2 linked regions of the Lonchura striata genome follow. The protein of the gene in region 2 interacts with the protein of the main gene of each other region in a biochemical or structural test. Links are inferred from orthologs where the notes say so. Each region holds a gene or a part of one and is shown on either strand. Other genes may lie near its edges.

What was found.
Region 1: the proteins of PPARG (region 2) and KAT5 form a complex in vitro, tested with the Homo sapiens proteins (2 studies listed by BioGRID, with this or other methods). The link is inferred for Lonchura striata from reciprocal best matches to the Homo sapiens genes PPARG and KAT5.

The regions. Positions count from the first base shown.
Region 1 is NC_134638.1:281,719-289,738, reverse strand, and holds the start of KAT5 (histone acetyltransferase KAT5), read right to left. Parts: upstream 3,005-8,020; 5' UTR 2,963-3,004; coding exon 2,954-2,962; intron 2,804-2,953; coding exon 2,737-2,803; intron 2,209-2,736; coding exon 2,140-2,208; intron 1,786-2,139; coding exon 1,649-1,785; intron 1-1,648. UniProt on the Homo sapiens protein: Catalytic subunit of the NuA4 histone acetyltransferase complex, a multiprotein complex involved in transcriptional activation of select genes principally by acetylation of nucleosomal histones H2A and H4.
Region 2 is NC_134614.1:4,878,586-4,886,511, forward strand, and holds the start of PPARG (peroxisome proliferator-activated receptor gamma), read right to left. Parts: upstream 3,056-7,926; 5' UTR 2,989-3,055; intron 1-2,988. UniProt on the Homo sapiens protein: Nuclear receptor that binds peroxisome proliferators such as hypolipidemic drugs and fatty acids.

The sequences.
Region 1 (8,020 bases), on a different chromosome or scaffold from region 2:
TAGGCCCGAGGAAGGGGAGGCTCAGGGGACACCCCGGGGACAGGGACAGGGTGACAAAACCGGGACCTGCCAGGGACCACCTCCGGGGCCACTTTTGGTGCCAGCTGGGGACCCTGGGGACATTTGGGGACATTTGGGATATTTGGGGACATTTGGGGCCATTGAGGACATTTGGTGAAATTTGGGGCCATTGGGGATCCTGGGGACGTTCGGGGACCTGGGTGACATTTGGGGACCCTGGTGACATTTGGGGACCCTGGGGCCGTTTGGGGACATTTGGGGACCCTGGTGACATTTGGTGACCCTGGTGACATTTGGTGACCCTGGTGACATTTGGGGACCCTGGGGCCGTTTGGGGACATTTGGGGACCCTGGGGCCGCCGGGGCCATCGGGGGTTACCGTGGGGCGCTGGGGGGGCTCGGCCTCGCTCTCCTTGGGCAGGTGCAAGCGGAGCGTGATGGGCCCCGGCCCCGCTGGCCCCGCTGGCCCCGCTGGCCCCGCTGGCCCCGGTGGCCCCGCCGCTGGCCCCGGTGGCCCCGGCAAACTCTTCCCGCTGGCGGGGGCCACCGGCAGCGCCAGCTCCAGGCTCTTCCTCTGCGCCGGGAGGAAGAGGAGGGTTTAGGGGCACGCGCAGGGGACGGAGCCACCGCGGCTCGGGGACCCTCCCGCCACCCCGGGACCCCTCCCGGGGACGGCCCTTGGTGGCCCCAAGGGCTCCTGAAGGGGGACAGGGTGGCATCCAGGGGTCGGGGGTGGCCCCAAGGTCCCCTTAGAGGGGTCAGGGGTGTCCCCAAGGGGTCAGGGGTGTCCCCAGGGTCCCCTTAGAGGGGTCAAGGGTGTCCCCAAGGGGTCAGGGGTGTCCCCAAGGGGTCAGGGGTGTCCCCAGGGTCCCCTTAGAGGGGTCAAGGGTGTCCCCAAGGGGTCAGGGGTGTCCCCAAGGGGTCAGGGGTGGCCCCAGGGTCCCCTTAGAGGGGTCAGGGGTGGCCCCAAGGGGTCAGAGATGTCCCCAAGGTCCCCAGAGAGTGCCTGGGGATGTCCCCAAGGTCCCCTACAGGAGCTGCAGGTGTCCCCAAGGGGTCGAGGGTGTCCCCAAGGTCCCTTAAAGGGGTCAGAAATGTCCCCAGGGTCCCCTAAAGGGGCTGGGGATGTCCCCAAGGGTCCGGGGTGGCCCCTGGGTGTGTCCTGGGGATGTCACCACCCCCCAGGGGACGTCCCTGCTGTGGGGGGCGAGTGTCCCCGTCACCAGGGGGTTTGGGGACTCCAGGTCTGTCCCCAGCGGCTCCACGTGTCCCCTGTCCCGTGTCCCCCCCGTGTGTCCCCTCAGTGCTCGGTCCCCGAGGCTGGCCCCTGTCCTTGCCCTGTCCCTTGGTGTCCCTCGCCCGTGTCCCCAAACTCTGTCCCTGTCCCACCCCCTCCTCAGCCCTGTCCCTTCCGTGTCCCCTGTCCCCAGACCCCTCTGTCCGTCCGGTGTCCCCTCAATGTCACCCGACCTCCCGCTGTTCCTCATCCCCCGTTTCCCCCCATCCCCTCCCCGTGTCACCAAGTGTCCCCAGTGTCCCCCCATGTCCCCGTATCCATCACCAGGTCTCTGTGTCCCCTCCAGGTGTCCCCCCAGGTCCCCCCGTGTCCCCGTGTCCCGGGGCTCACCGGGTCCCTGTCGGGGGAGCCGGGCCGGGAGCCGGGCAGGCCGTTCTTGGTGGGCGTCTTGGCCTCCTTGCGGGGCACCTGGACCCTCTTGAGGTCCAGCCGGTCGTGGGTCACCCACTCGTCCAGGCGCTTGTTAACTGGGGACAGCGGGGACATGGCGGGCTGGCACGGGGGGTGGCAGTGCCAGGCCAGTGCCAGCCCATTGCCAGCCCAGCGTCCACCCCAATGCCACCCCAGTGTCCACCAGAATGCCACCCCAGTGTCCATCCCAGTGTCCACCCCAATGCCACCCCAGTGACCACCCCAGTGCCCATCCCAGTGTCCATCCCAGTGCCACCCCAGTGTCCATCCCAGTGTCCCCCATGTCCCTGTGTCCCTGTCCCCGTGTCCCCCCGTGTCCCCGTGTCTGTGTCCCTGTCCCGTGTCTGTGTCCCCGTCCCCGTGTCCCCCCGTGTCCCTGTCCCCGTGTCCCGTGTCCGTGTCGCGCTCACAGTCGATGTAGTGCACGTAGAAGAGTTTCCTGCCGCTGATGTCCTTCACGCTCAGGATCTCGGCCAGCGCTGAAACCGGGGGGGTGGGGGTCACCACACAGCCCCTCCTGGGACCCCCAAACCCCCCTGGGACCCCCAAACCCCCCTGGGACCCCCAACATCCACCCAGGCACTCCAAACCCACCCAGGGATCCCTTCAGGGACCCCCAGACCCACCCAGGGACCCCCAAACCCACTTAGGACTGCCAAACCCTCCTGGGACCCCCAAACCCCCCAGGGACCCCCTCAGGGACCCTAAACCCACCCAGGGACCCCCAAACCCACCCAGGGACCCCCAAACCCACCCAGGGATCCCCTCAGGGACCCCAACCCACCCAGTGACCCCCTCAGGGATCCCAAATTCCCCCGGGACCCCCTCATGAACCCCAAACCCCCCAGGACCCCCTCATGAACCCCAAACCCCCCAGGACCCCCGACCCCCCCGGGCCAGGCCCCGCCCCCTCAGGAGGCCCCGCCCCCGCCGCTTCCCGCCCTTTCCCTTAGCCCCGCCCCCGCGCCCTGATTGGCTGCCCCCGCGCTGAGCCCCGCCCCGCTCACGCCACTCATCCTCGTTGTCCTGGTTCCGGCGCAGCACGGGCAGGCGGCAGCCCTCGGACACCTCCCCCTGCGGGGGCGGGGCCTCGTCAGGGCCGGCGGGGCCCCAAAACCCCCGCGGGGGGTTCGGGGGGTCCCCGAACCCGTCCGGAGGCTCCCGGAGCCCCTCGGGCGGCTCCCCGAGCCCCCTCCGCGCTGCCCCCCCCCGCCCGCTCCCCACCTCCGCCATTCTCCTCCCGGCCTTCGCTTCCGGCCGGCCCGACGCGCTTCCGGGACGCGGCCCCGCCCCCTCCGCGCCTGCGCCCCGCCCCCCGGTTGGCGGGAGCGCTCGCGGGAGGGGGCGGGGCTTTCCCGGCAGCCGCGTCACGTGGGGCGCGGCGCTTCCGCCAGCGGCGGCGCGAGCGGGGCCCCCCCCCCGCCCTTCCCGCTGCCCCCGGGACCCCCCCGGGACCCCCCCGGGACCCCCGGGACCCCCCGACCCCCGCCATGGAGGACGGTGAGTGCTGACCCCCCCCGCGGCGGTTTTGGGACCGTTCCGCCCCGAGTGACGTCGCGGGGTGAGCGGAGGGTGCGGGCCCTTTAAGGGGGGGGGGGCGGGTTTAAAGGGGGAGGGGGTTTTGGGGGAAGACCCCCGCCCCCGTTAAAGTGACCCCTCCCGTTAATGCGAACCCCCCTTAATGTGACACCCCCTTATGTGACCCCTCCTTTAGGTGACCCCCCCATTAATGCGACCCCCCCCATTAATGCCACCCCCCCATTAATGCCACCCCCCCATTAATGCGACCCCCCCCATTAATGCGACCCCCCCATTAATGCGACCCCCCCATTAATGCCACCCCCCCATTAATGCGACCCCCTTCATTAATGTGACCCCCCATTAATGTGACCCCCCCATTAATGCGACCCCCCCACTAATGCGACCCCCCCATTAATGCGACCCCCCATTAATGTGAATCCCCCCATTAATGTGACCCCCCCATTAATGCGACCCCCCCCATTAATGCGACCCCCCCCATTAAATCGACCCCCTCCCCTTTGCCCCCCAGTGACCCCCCCAGACCTCCTGCCCTTCCTGCTGCAGGACTGGGGCGCTCCAGGTGAGTGGGGCCGGGTGGGCGGGGGGGGGTCCCCCGGGGGTCCCGGGGGTGGGGGGGGGGTGCGGAGGGGCTGACGGGACCCCCCGGGACCCCCGTGCCCCCCCAGAGGCGGGGGGGGCGGCGCCGTTCGTGGAGATCCTGGAGCAGCCGCGGCAGCGCGGGATGAGGTTCCGCTACAAGTGCGAGGGGCGCTCGGCCGGGAGCATCCCCGGGGAGCACAGCAGCGAGAGCACCCGGACGCACCCCACCATCCGCGTGAGTGTCCCAGTACAAACCAGTATGGACCAGTAACAGCCTGGGACCCCTCAGTGCCCCCCCAGTGCCCCCCCAGTGCCCCCAGCCCCAGGGAGCACAGCAGCGAGAGCACCCGGACGCACCCCACCATCCGCGTGAGTGTCCCAGTACAAACCAGTATGGACCAGTAACAGCCTGGGACCCCTCAGTGCCCCCCCAGAGCCCCCCAGAGCCCCCCCAGTGCCCCCAGCCCCGGGGAGCACAGCAGCGAGAGCACCCGGACGCACCCCACCATCCGCGTGAGTGTCCCAGTACAAACCAGTATGGACCAGTAACAGCCTGGGACCCCTCAGTGCCCCCCCAGAGCCCCCCAGAGCCCCCCCAGTGCCCCCAGCCCCAGGGAGCACAGCAGCGAGAGCACCCGGAGGCACCCCACCATCCGTGTGAGTGTCCCAGTACAAACCAGTAATGACCAGTAACCACCCAGTGCCCCCCTGAGCCCCCCCAGTGCGCCCCACCATCCGCGTGAGTGTCCCAGTACATCCCAATATGGACCAGTAACAGCCTGGGACCCCCCCTGATCTCCCCGGCTCTCCCATCCCTGGCCGGGGGGGCTCAGCACCCTCTCCCCCAGCCCCACTGCAGCATCCCCGTGAGCCCCCCAGCTCAGACCAGTGCTGACCAGTCCAAACCAGTGCTGACCAGTCCAAACCGGTCCCGCAGGTGAACAACTACCGGGGCCCGGGGCGCGTGCGGGTGTCGCTGGTGACCAAGGACCCCCCGCACCGCCCGCACCCCCACGAGCTGGTGGGCAAGGACTGCCGGGACGGCTTCTACGAGGCCGAGCTGAGCCCCGAGCGCAGCGTGCACAGGTGGGACCCCAACCCGGATGTCCCCCCCAAAAACCGGGACAGCCCCGAAATCGGGATGGGACCCCAAAATCGGGACAGCCCCGAAATCCGGGACAGGAACCCAGACCAGGACGGGACCCCGAAATCGGGATATCACCCAAAAACTGGGACATCCCCCGCCAAAAACTGGGATATCCCTAAAACCAGGGACAACCCTGAAATTTGGGACAGCCCCGAAATCTGGGACAACCCCAAAATCCGGCACAATTCTGAAATCCGGGATATCCTCCCCCAAAAACTGGGACATCCCCAAAAACCGGGGAGAACCCCAAAATCCGGGGACAGCTCCAAAATCCAGGACATCCCCCAAAAACTGGGATATCCCCCAAAAAAACGGGATATCCCCCCCCCCAAAAACTGGGACAGCCCCAAAACCCGGGTCAGCCCCCCAAAAACCGGGGACATCCCCCAAAAACTGTGGACATCCCTCAGGCTGGGGGCACACCCCAAAACTGGGATGTCCCCCAAAATCAGGGACACCCCCAAAACCGGGAGACACCCCCATGGGGCGGTGGGAGCACCCAAGATTTGGGAACCCCCCCAGAAGAGCAGGTGGTATCTCCCAAAATACTGGGGATCTCCCTCCGGGGCGGGTGGGACCACCCAAAAACGGGGGGCGACGCCCAAAATACGGGACCCTGCCAAGAGTCCTGGGAACCCCCAAAATTCGGGATCCCTGCCCCGGAATGTTCGGGGGGATCCCAAAATCCAGGTGGAGCCCTGAGCCAGCCCAGTTTTGGGGGCAGTTTCCAGAATTTGGGGATCCAGTGCGTGAAGAAGCGGGAGCTGGAGGCGGCCGTGGCCGAGCGGATCCGCACCAACAACAACCCCTTCAACGGTACTGGGAGCACTGGGAGAGACTGGGAGGGACTGGGAGGGAACTGGGGGGAACTGGGAGGGAACTGGGAGGGAACTGGGGGGGAACTGGGAGGGACTGGGAGGGACTGGGAGGGAACTGGGGGGGAACTGGGAGGGACTGGGAGGGAACTGGGGGGAACTGGGAGGGAACTGGGAGGGACTGGGAGGGACTGGGAGGGAACTGGGGGGAACTGGGAGGGAACTGGGAAGGACTGGGAGGGAACTGGGAGCGATTGGGAGGGAACTGGGAGTGACTGGGAGGGACTGGGAGGGACTGGGAGGGAACTGGGGGGGAACTGGGAAGGACTGGGAGGGAACTGGGAGCGATTGGGAGGGAACTGGGAGTGACTGGGAGGGACTGGGAGGGAACTGGGAGCAACTGGGAGGGAACTGGGAGGGACTGGGAGGGAACTGGGAGGGACTGGGAGTTACTGGGAGGGAACTGGGAGTGATTGGGTATTACTGGGAGGTCACTGAGGACAGTGCTGGGGGCGTCACTGGTCTGTACTGGTCTGTACTGGGCAGTGCCAGGGGAGCAGCGCAGGGGCGAGTATGACCTGGGGGTGTCACTGGGGGTACCTGGGTATGTTAGTGGTTTGTACTGGTATATACTGGTCTATACTGGTTTACACTGGTCTGTACTGGTCTGTACTGGTTTATACTGGTCTGTACTGGTTTATACCGGTTCTCACTGGTCTGCACCGGGCAGTGCCGGCGGAGCAGCGCGGGGGCGAGTACGACCTGGCCGCGGTCCGGCTCTGCTTCCAGGTGTGGGTGAGGGGCCCGGGGGGGCTGCAGCCCCTCCCCCCCGTCCTGTCCCAGCCCATCTACGACAACCGTGAGTGGGACACGGGGACACGGGGACAGCTGGGGACACCTGGGACACCTGGGGACACCTGAGTGACACCTGGGACACCGGGGGGACATTGGGGACACCTGGGGGACATTGGGGACAGCTGAGGGACACCAGGGGACAGCTGGGGACACTGGGGACACCTGGGGGACATCCCTGAGACCCATGTGGGACATCCCTGGGACGTCCCTGGGACACCCAAGGGACACCTGGGGACACCCGAGGGTGGCCCGGGACCCACGGCGGCCCCGCGCTGTCCCCAGGTGCCCCCAGCACGGCCGAGCTCCGGATCTGCCGCGTGAACCGCAACTCCGGGAGCTGCCGGGGCGGGGACGAGATCTTCCTGCTGTGTGACAAGGTCCAGAAAGGTCAGGGGGCACCCCGGGATGGGGACAGCCCGAAACGGGGCACCCCAAAAACGGGGCACCCTGAAAACGGGGCACCCTGAAAACGGGGACAGCCCGAAACGGGGCACCCCAAAAATGGGGCACCCCAAAAATGGGACAGCCGAAAAACGGGACACCCCAAACCCGGGACACCCCAAAGCTGGGACACCCCAAACCTCGGACACCCCAAAACCTGGGACACCCCAAAACCTGGGACACCCCAAAGCTGGGATGTCCCAAACAGGGCGATATCGGTGTCTGTGTCCCCCGGCTTTGTTCCTGTCGCTGTCACCTGTCCCTGTCCCCGTGTCCCTGTCCCTGTCCCCGTGTCCGTGTCCCTGTCCCCATCCCTGTGTCTCTGCCCCCATGTCCCTGTCCCCATGTCCGTGTCCCCGTGTCCCTGTGGTGTCCCCGGGGTGTCCCCAGCATGTCCCCATCCCCATGTCCATGTCCATGCCCATGTTCCTGTGTCCATGTCCCCATCCCTGTCCCCGTGTCCCTGTCCCTGCAGCGTCCCCGTGTCTCTGTCCCCATGTCCATGCCCATGTCCCCGTGTCCGTGTCCCCCGCGTGTCCCCACTGTGTCCCCGTGCCCGCAGAGGACATCGAGGTGCGTTTCTCGGCCGAGGGCTGGGAGGCCAAGGGCTCCTTCGCGCAGGCCGACGTTCACCGCCAGGTCGCCATCGTGTTCCGCACGCCGCCGTTCCGGGACCCCGCGCTGCGCGCGCCCGTCACCGTGCGCATGGAGCTGCAGCGGCCCTCGGACCGGCAGCGCAGCGCGCCGCTCGACTTCCGCTACCTGCCCCACCAGGGTGGGCTTCGGGGGGCTGCGGGGTGGTTTTGGGGGGCTGGGGGTGATCTGGGGTCCCTGGAGCTTCAGTTCCCATTGATTTCCTGTTCCTGCCCCACCAGGGTGGGCTTCGGGGGGCTGCGGGGTGGTTTTGGGGGG
Region 2 (7,926 bases):
GGCTGAGTACCAGGGTGATAATTTGCTTAGCACCAGCATTTTCTACGTTGTCCCTGGAACCTGAAAGCAGCACCTCTGGGAAAAGTGGACTACCCTACATTTAAAAGAAAGCACAACTGGAAAAACTCCCTGGGATCTTCCCTTTGTGGAAAATAAAAAGTGGAAGGGGGAATAGACAAAAGAAATAGAAAAGGTTTATCATTTAATGTAGGAATCAATTGATGGTTCATATCAATCCAAAGACAAATCTTACGGCTTTTCCATTTTTCATTCTGCCTTGGAAAAGCCCCCACAGGGAAAAAGCCGGGGCAAGGAGGAGATTTTCTCCCCAGGTACTCTGTAAATGAAGTCCTTTAAATTGATCTCTTACTGGGAACCCCCAGCTCCCGTTTGTGAGGAGTGGGACTTGAGTACATCAATGTTCTCTTGCTTTTGATTGTTTCTAACTCTTCCTCTTGTTCACAAAAAGTGAGCTGACACACAGAGAACATTTGGCATAAAGTACCTGAAAACCAGATCCTGCTGTTAAAAAACTAGAAATACAGAATGAAATAATTAGCACTTATCATCTAACATCATGCTGGATTTAATAAACCTATTAGTGATTAAAAAATGAACCTAGTAGCAATAACTAATGGAAAATATTTTATCCAAGACTTCAAAAGACTCATGGAGAATTTGTAATTGTAGGATGATTCCTCTTGAGTAACTGCACTGGAAACTTTTACTGCGTGATTATTATGGGAATAATCCTCGTCAAAAAGCTTGTAAAAGAAACACAGATTCTGAATATCAAATAGACACAATTACTGATTCACTATTAGGCTACTGAAAAGGGCTAGGAAAGATATTCAACTCCACTCTGAGCAGATTACATTTAAAAAAACCTGAAGTTGTCCTCACCAATCAAGGTGAAAAAAAGTATTAATTTTACTTTTCATTATTTGGTCCACCTTTGTACAAGACAGATTTTTCATTCTACTTTTAATTTTTTCTTGTTTTTACAATAAAATTGTTTTCAAAATTCATTTTATTAGCCATTACTATAAGGAGGAGATTACACTAAAAGTAATTGAAACAATGCCTAAATTTATCAACTTAGAAATGGACTTACGGTTATTTTAAAAGTTCACAAAAGAGTCAGATTCAAAAGCACTGCTGATAAGGGGTGCATTTATCAGTCCCATAAGGAAGGTTAAAAGGCTTAGCTTCAATATCCTTCAACTAAATTCTAATATATCACCGCCTTCATTTCAGGATTCATTATACAAAACAAATTTATATCAGAAAAATGTATTAGTTGTATATTCTGTGTTCTAATGGAAGTTTCATTGAATGCTGATGTTAAATACATTGCATTATCCAGGATTTTGGCATTTCTAAGAAACACAGACCATCTTAAGGCTGTTTAGAAGTACAGAATCTCTGAACCACTACAAGTTAGTGAGATATTTTACAAAACTGATGCCTAAAAACATTCAAATTCAAAAGCTGCCTGTGTAAAAATACCTTATATTATATTTCTGATTGGTTATCATTCAAAGTCAGTGCCAACTATTTTTTTTCAGCTCTCTCTCCCCTTGACAAGCCCATGCTTATATTGTGCCACATGCCTTAACACACTGCTAGGAGTGATTTCTTGTAATCTCATAATTAAATCTCTCAGCAATTTTTGCAGCAATTTTTTTTTTTTGTGACAGCCAAAGTGAATAATGATGTCAAACACATCACTTGATGCACCAAATTCTGCTATTAAGGAGAGCACACCATATGAAACTTCTTTTCAAAGGCGAGCACTCAGTATCATGTCACAATTGCTTGGTGTACACTGGGAATTTTTGGTTAACTAGTAACAAATCATAGTAACCTTTTAAAAGGTAAATTACTTATTAAATGATAGACTAATTGCTACCAGAAAATAGATATTTTTAAATGGAACATTGTAACAGTGCTCTACAGCAAAAGCTTGTTCACAGATGGGACAGCAAGTCACAAATCTAAATCCAAACCCCTGGTTATTTCAAGGAGAATTAAAACCAATCCATCTGATTTAAAGGAACCTAAACTCCAAAGGACATCCAGAAATTGGTAATTCCCTGAGCTTTTGATCACAAGAAATACCAGCCTTACATCACTAATATTAATGAACGCATCCCTGTTAAGTCAGCATAGTATTGTCGTGTGTACACGGGGCCACAAAGTTACAACACCACAGGAACTTGCACTCTCTAGCTGCAGAATACCCTGGGGAGAAATGACACCAGGAAGATTACAAAACGCTCCTGCGAACCTGAGGCATGCCATCAAGACACAATATATTTCAACATAGCATCTCAGTTGTTGCAGGCTGTGAGAGGCTCCCCGACTTTCTGCGATTGGGAAATTGAGGGGGGAAAAAAAAAGGTGCTGTTCATTCATTACGAGAGCAGCCAGGTGAGCTCAGCACTGCCCTGGCGGAGCTTCCCGCACGGGCGGCAGGGATGGACGGCGCGCAGCGCATCCACCCATCCATCCGCGCTCCCCATCACCTCCGGCTCTGCGGGCGGGACATCGCCCCTCCGCCGCCGAGCATCCTCCGCCGCCACCCGCTGCAGCACCATGGACACAGCGCCCGGGCTGCCCCGGCCGGAGCGCGGCACGTCGTCACCCCGCATCCCGCATCCCGGCACCCCCGCACCCCGCACCCCGGCATCCCGGCACCCCGCACCCCGCATCCCGGCACCCCCGCACCCCGCATCCCGGCACCCCCGCACCCCGCACCCCGGCACTCCGCACCCCGCATCCCGCACCCCGGCACCCCGCACCCCGCACTCCGGCACTCCGGCACCCCGCACCCCGGCACACCGCACTCCGGCACTCCGGCACCCCGCACCCCGCACCCCGCACCCCGGCACTCCGCACCCAGGCATCCCCGCACCCCGCACCCCGGCGGCCCTGCCCGCGCTGCCCGCGCTGCCCGCGGCTCCCTGAGCCCCGCGCCGCCCTCACCTCGGGGCCGGTGCCCGCAGCCGCACTGCCCCGGCGCTGTCAGTTCTCAGCGGGAGCTGCCGTTCCCTTCCAGCGGGATAAACTCCCCCGCTCGGCCCGGCCTCCCGGGCAGGGCCCGCCTCCCCCCGGCGCCGCCTCCGCCGGCCCACGGCGAGCGGGGCCGGGCAGGGAAAGGGACGGGGAGCGGATGGGGATGGGGACCGGGGGCGGCCGCAGGGATGGCGCAGAGGAGCGGGCCGGGAGAGGCAGCGGGGCAGTGAGAGGAGGAGGAGGAGGAGCCGCTCGTGCCCCGCTGTCCCCTCAGGCCGCCCGGCCGGCCCGGCCCGGCCGCGGAGCCGGAGCAGCCGCGTGTGGCCGAGGGCAGAGCGCGGCCCCGCAGCGCAGCTGGAGTTTGATCTCTGCTCCCCGTAATCTCCCGTAACTGAAAATTCACTTTTTCCGCCTGCCGGCTGCTTTCTCTTTTGCCTTGCCATGCTGCAGCCAGCTCCGCTCTGCGCTGCCTGCTTGGCTGGGTCGCCTCACGTCAGGCTGTGTCCTGCTGTGACAGGAGTAAAGGCTTTTCTGAAAAGGTTCTTAGCACTAACGGAGGTAAAGCGAATTCTTTTTCACTTTTTTTTCTTTCTTTTTTTTTTTTTTTTTTTTTCGCTTGAGATTATCTCTGGGCGCTCTTCCCCCCTCCCAGGAATGCAGAGCCGAGCGCTATAGGCTGTGCTCGGTACCTCTCCAGAGGCAGCAAGCCCAAACAAGCTTGTCACCTCCTCTATCTCAGCCTCTGAGGCTTTGAAAAAGAAGTTAGATGTGGAAAAAAAAGGCATAAGATCAACAGGCTTTAGAGAGTCATCCTGGAACTCCAGGTGCCCCGGGATACAACAGTTTATCTTGAAAAACTCCTGATCCCTTGGACATCACTGGAAGGCTGAGAGGATCCCAAATTTGCCTCATTATTCTTAGTCATCAAGCATTTTGAAAGAGAGCCCACATTTGCTTTATTATTTGTATACTGAAGGCAATTTATAGATTAGGGTTGAACACGTCAAAATACCTGGACTACCTACAGATACTAACTTTGCCTCCAGCCTTTTGTTTATGAGAACAATCTCTCTGTCTGCAGAGGCTTGAAGCCTTGTCTTAATTTTTATGAGAATTATCTGTCTATTTGTATAGGCTTGAGGTGTTACCTCTGTCTTGACAGATCAAGGATTTTTTCTTTCAATTCCTGCTTTTTCCCTTTCATCTGAATTTTTTTTCGCCTTGGAAATGTGGAAATATTTTTTTTAAGTGGTTCTTTTTTATTGTTTGGGTTGGGTATTTTAAAAATTATTTTAACATACTGCAGTAATAACCTATTCCAGTAATACCCTGGCTCAGAATTAGAAGCCAGGTCCTGCAAACAAGTAAAACAAACCCTCAGAATTACCATGGATGAACAAAGAGGCAAATGTGGGCAAAACAATCTTAACAAAGAGGTTTAAAATACCTTGGTTACTAGTATTTTTACCACTGTACTGCAAGAGCTGAAGTAGAATTTCAACAGAAAATTAAAAGGAGAAGGATCTGAGCTGGACCCTCACAGAGTTCTGATTTAGCCCTGGTGAGAACAGAACTGCTGCTCTGCTGCTGGAGAATTCCCCATTTAGCTTAAATGTCTGAAAAAAGGGGATCCCTCCCCAAAAATCAAACCTTTGGGATCCCTCCCTAAAATTTAACCTGCAAACGTTTTCAAACTCCGCTCAACTGGAAGCATTCCAAAAATTGGAAGGTATTGATAACATCCAGTTGGAACTGTGCAGTCCTGCTTTGAGCCCAGGCTTTTAATAAAGGCAGAAATACAAAGCACAGTTTGGATTTTTATTAAATTGTATGGGTGAGACAGATATCTCTAAGTCAGTCCAGAGAAACCAGCCAAACACAGCTTTCACAGGAATATTACAAATACACTATCAGTCTATTTTTGTTCTAAGCATTATTTTCTTTACTGAGTTCACCTTTTGAACAGAACTCATAAAGCAAAACCAGAACGATAACTTACGTAAAAATTACTTAGATTTTGTAAATATGCATTTTAGCAGATTGAGACAGGAAAGGAAAAGATCCTTTAGTCTGATTTCCTGCTTAACACGGATTTCTAGTTAGGATTTAATATCTCATTAAATGTTTCTTTTGGACAGCTAATCTTAGTTTGAAGAATGACAAGATGAAGAGCCCATACATTTTCTCTGGTAATTAAAAGTATGCCTTATTTATAATTTGAATTAATCTGTTTTTTGTTTTTTGTTTTTCTTTTTTTCCTTAACAAAGAGTGGATTTTTTTTTTTTTTTTCTCAGAGAAAGCCAATCATTTCTGTATTGGTAAAGAAATACTACAGACTACAAATATATTATCTATTCTGTAATCAAGTTGCTTTATACTGTAATGAAATGGTCATAATAAAGACATTTATCAGCTTCTCATAAGTTTTTGTTTGCATTGTTTGACTGTGCAGTTTTTGATGATCCAGACTTTCTCCCCTCCTTATCTGTGAGGATTCCTAAGCTTGGCTGGGAGCTCTCAGAGTTATGAAACAAGAGTGAAATGTCAGGCTCAGGCCTTGCTGATCCATGGGCAGTTCTCCCCTAAGTTCAAAGAGAAGCAGAAAAGACTCTCTCAGCATCAGTTCTGGTTTTAAAATTAGAAGATAATTTGCCTTCACACAAGATCAATTATACTCTGTTTTTCTTGTTGGGTATAAAGGCATCAGTTAATTCCTTTCATCTGAAAGAACTGCATTTTAAACTAACTTTAATCAGCCCATTTTTCGTGGTGAGTCTTTTTGAAGCATTTATTGCATCTGAAAAAAATTATTTCTGCTTGCAGTTATGACTGACTGACTGTACATTATGTGTTTCAATTATTCAGAAAATTCGAAGTAGATGAAATTGAATCATATGGCAAAAATAGTTCTCACTGAGATGAGAAACTGAAATGAGTACTCTGTGGAATCTCCAGATGGATAAGGGTGTTAGCAATGACAAAATAACCTCCCCTGAGTGGTTTCATTTCTCTTTTCCATCTTGGTGAAGGAATTTCTGTGCAACAATTTCTAAGGAATTCCAGGTAGGTGTTTATGGCTAGAAAAACTAATTTATTGGAGGTGATGCTGTGAGTTTTACAATTGGCTTGAAAAGAGTGGCAGCCTTGCAAGGATTTCTACTCCTTCCCATCTCTGCAAAGACACAAATTCCTTCTTTTACTGACTTTTTATGTTTCCCCTGGGTTTGGGCTCAGTCTCTGGCTGCATTACTCAAGTTTAAAATCTTGCAGTGTGTCCTATGCTGGTGCTGTGGGATGGAATGGAGAAGTAGCCAAACCTTTAACATCTAGAGGGCAATCTCCTGCTCTGAGAGTGCAGCCAGAAGTCTGACAGCCTGAGCAGCAAGTTCTGATTGTGCAAATTGCATTGCTTTAAAGGAATGGAGTTTAAAAAGGTTAAAAATGTCCTGTATTGCTGCCTTTTTTTAAAGTTACCCCGTGTTCTTTCTCTTGGGCAATGCAATATTTTAATTCATATATCTGGTGTCCTTTTATTGATAAAAAAGCATATCTTATTTGCCTCAGCATATCTCATTCTGTCTTTACTGGCAGCTTTTGGTCTGGCAAGGCATGTTTTTAAAAAGTAAGTCATAATATCACACCACACTCCTATCTACAGCTTGCACACTCTTTACTTGAAGGGAATTCAGAGTTTCAGCTGCTATCAGTAGCATTTTACACAGATATATGGCAAAACCTGGGGTATAAACTGCATTCCTTGAGTACAGGATTGTGCTGGGTGAGTTTCTCCCGGGATCCAGCAGGAGGGATAGAGGCAGGCACGATGCAGATTTTTCACAGATAACTGCAGAGCGGGTCAAAACAAGAACCCCTTAAAAATGAGCCTCCTTTGCCTGAACTTCGAGGCTTGGATAAAAAGAGAAAAAAATCCAAACCTTGTCTGCTTTAAATTCATGAAAGCCAAGATCACACCAGCCTGCCTACCTCTAAATTGTAATGGTTTTCTTCCTGACCTCCAGACTCCCCCCAACTCTTAACTTTGATTTCATCTTGGAGGGAATAACTTCCTCTCTAGGACTGTCTGGCTCTTCTGTGGTTGAATATGATATTGCATTCTGATTAAATGGGCCCCAATTGCACATCACAGACAGTTAGCAGGTAAAAGAAAATATAGGAATAAGGAGCTCAAGCACATACTGGTATCTGTCAGATGTTAATCCATCCAAAATTCATTTCTGAAGGAATCCTTTTAAAGCAACCAAGAGATCATTTTGAGCCTCATTTAGAACCAGTTTATCCAAATTTCTTGGGTGATTGAGCTAAGACAGATTTATGAACGTAACTTAACTTCAGAAATCCAGATTTCTACAATTATACATGCTTAGACATCTGAAATGAGGAGCTGATGCAACCAAGGCTCGGGGTTGTGCTAATCTGAGATGGGAAGGAGGTGGCTGGGTTGTGGTTAAAGCATGGGACTGAGCTGCTGAGAGGTCTTGCTTCTATTCCTGGTTGTGTCACTGACTTCCTGTGGGTCACTGGAGTCACTGAGCTCTGTCTCATTTTACTAATTTATAAAAAAGAAATTATGTTGCATTGCTAAAGCACTGTGAGACAAGTCATTGCTGTCTGTACAATAGTTTTATGCTCATAAGAGATATTTGTGTCAGCAGATCACAACCATATTCCTAAAGTAACTCCTTTTGGATAATTTGCTGTTATAATACAGCAATTCAATGATTCTAGTAAAAAACTAAAACCTCAAAAATATAGATTTAACTTAAAATGTCTGGAGAAATTTGCTTCCAGGTTTCAATTAAACATTTGCTCATGAGGAGGACTCTGTTTTCCTTGTAAGAGTATGAGAAAGGTGCTCCCTCATAATTGTGAAAAAAATAATTAATACC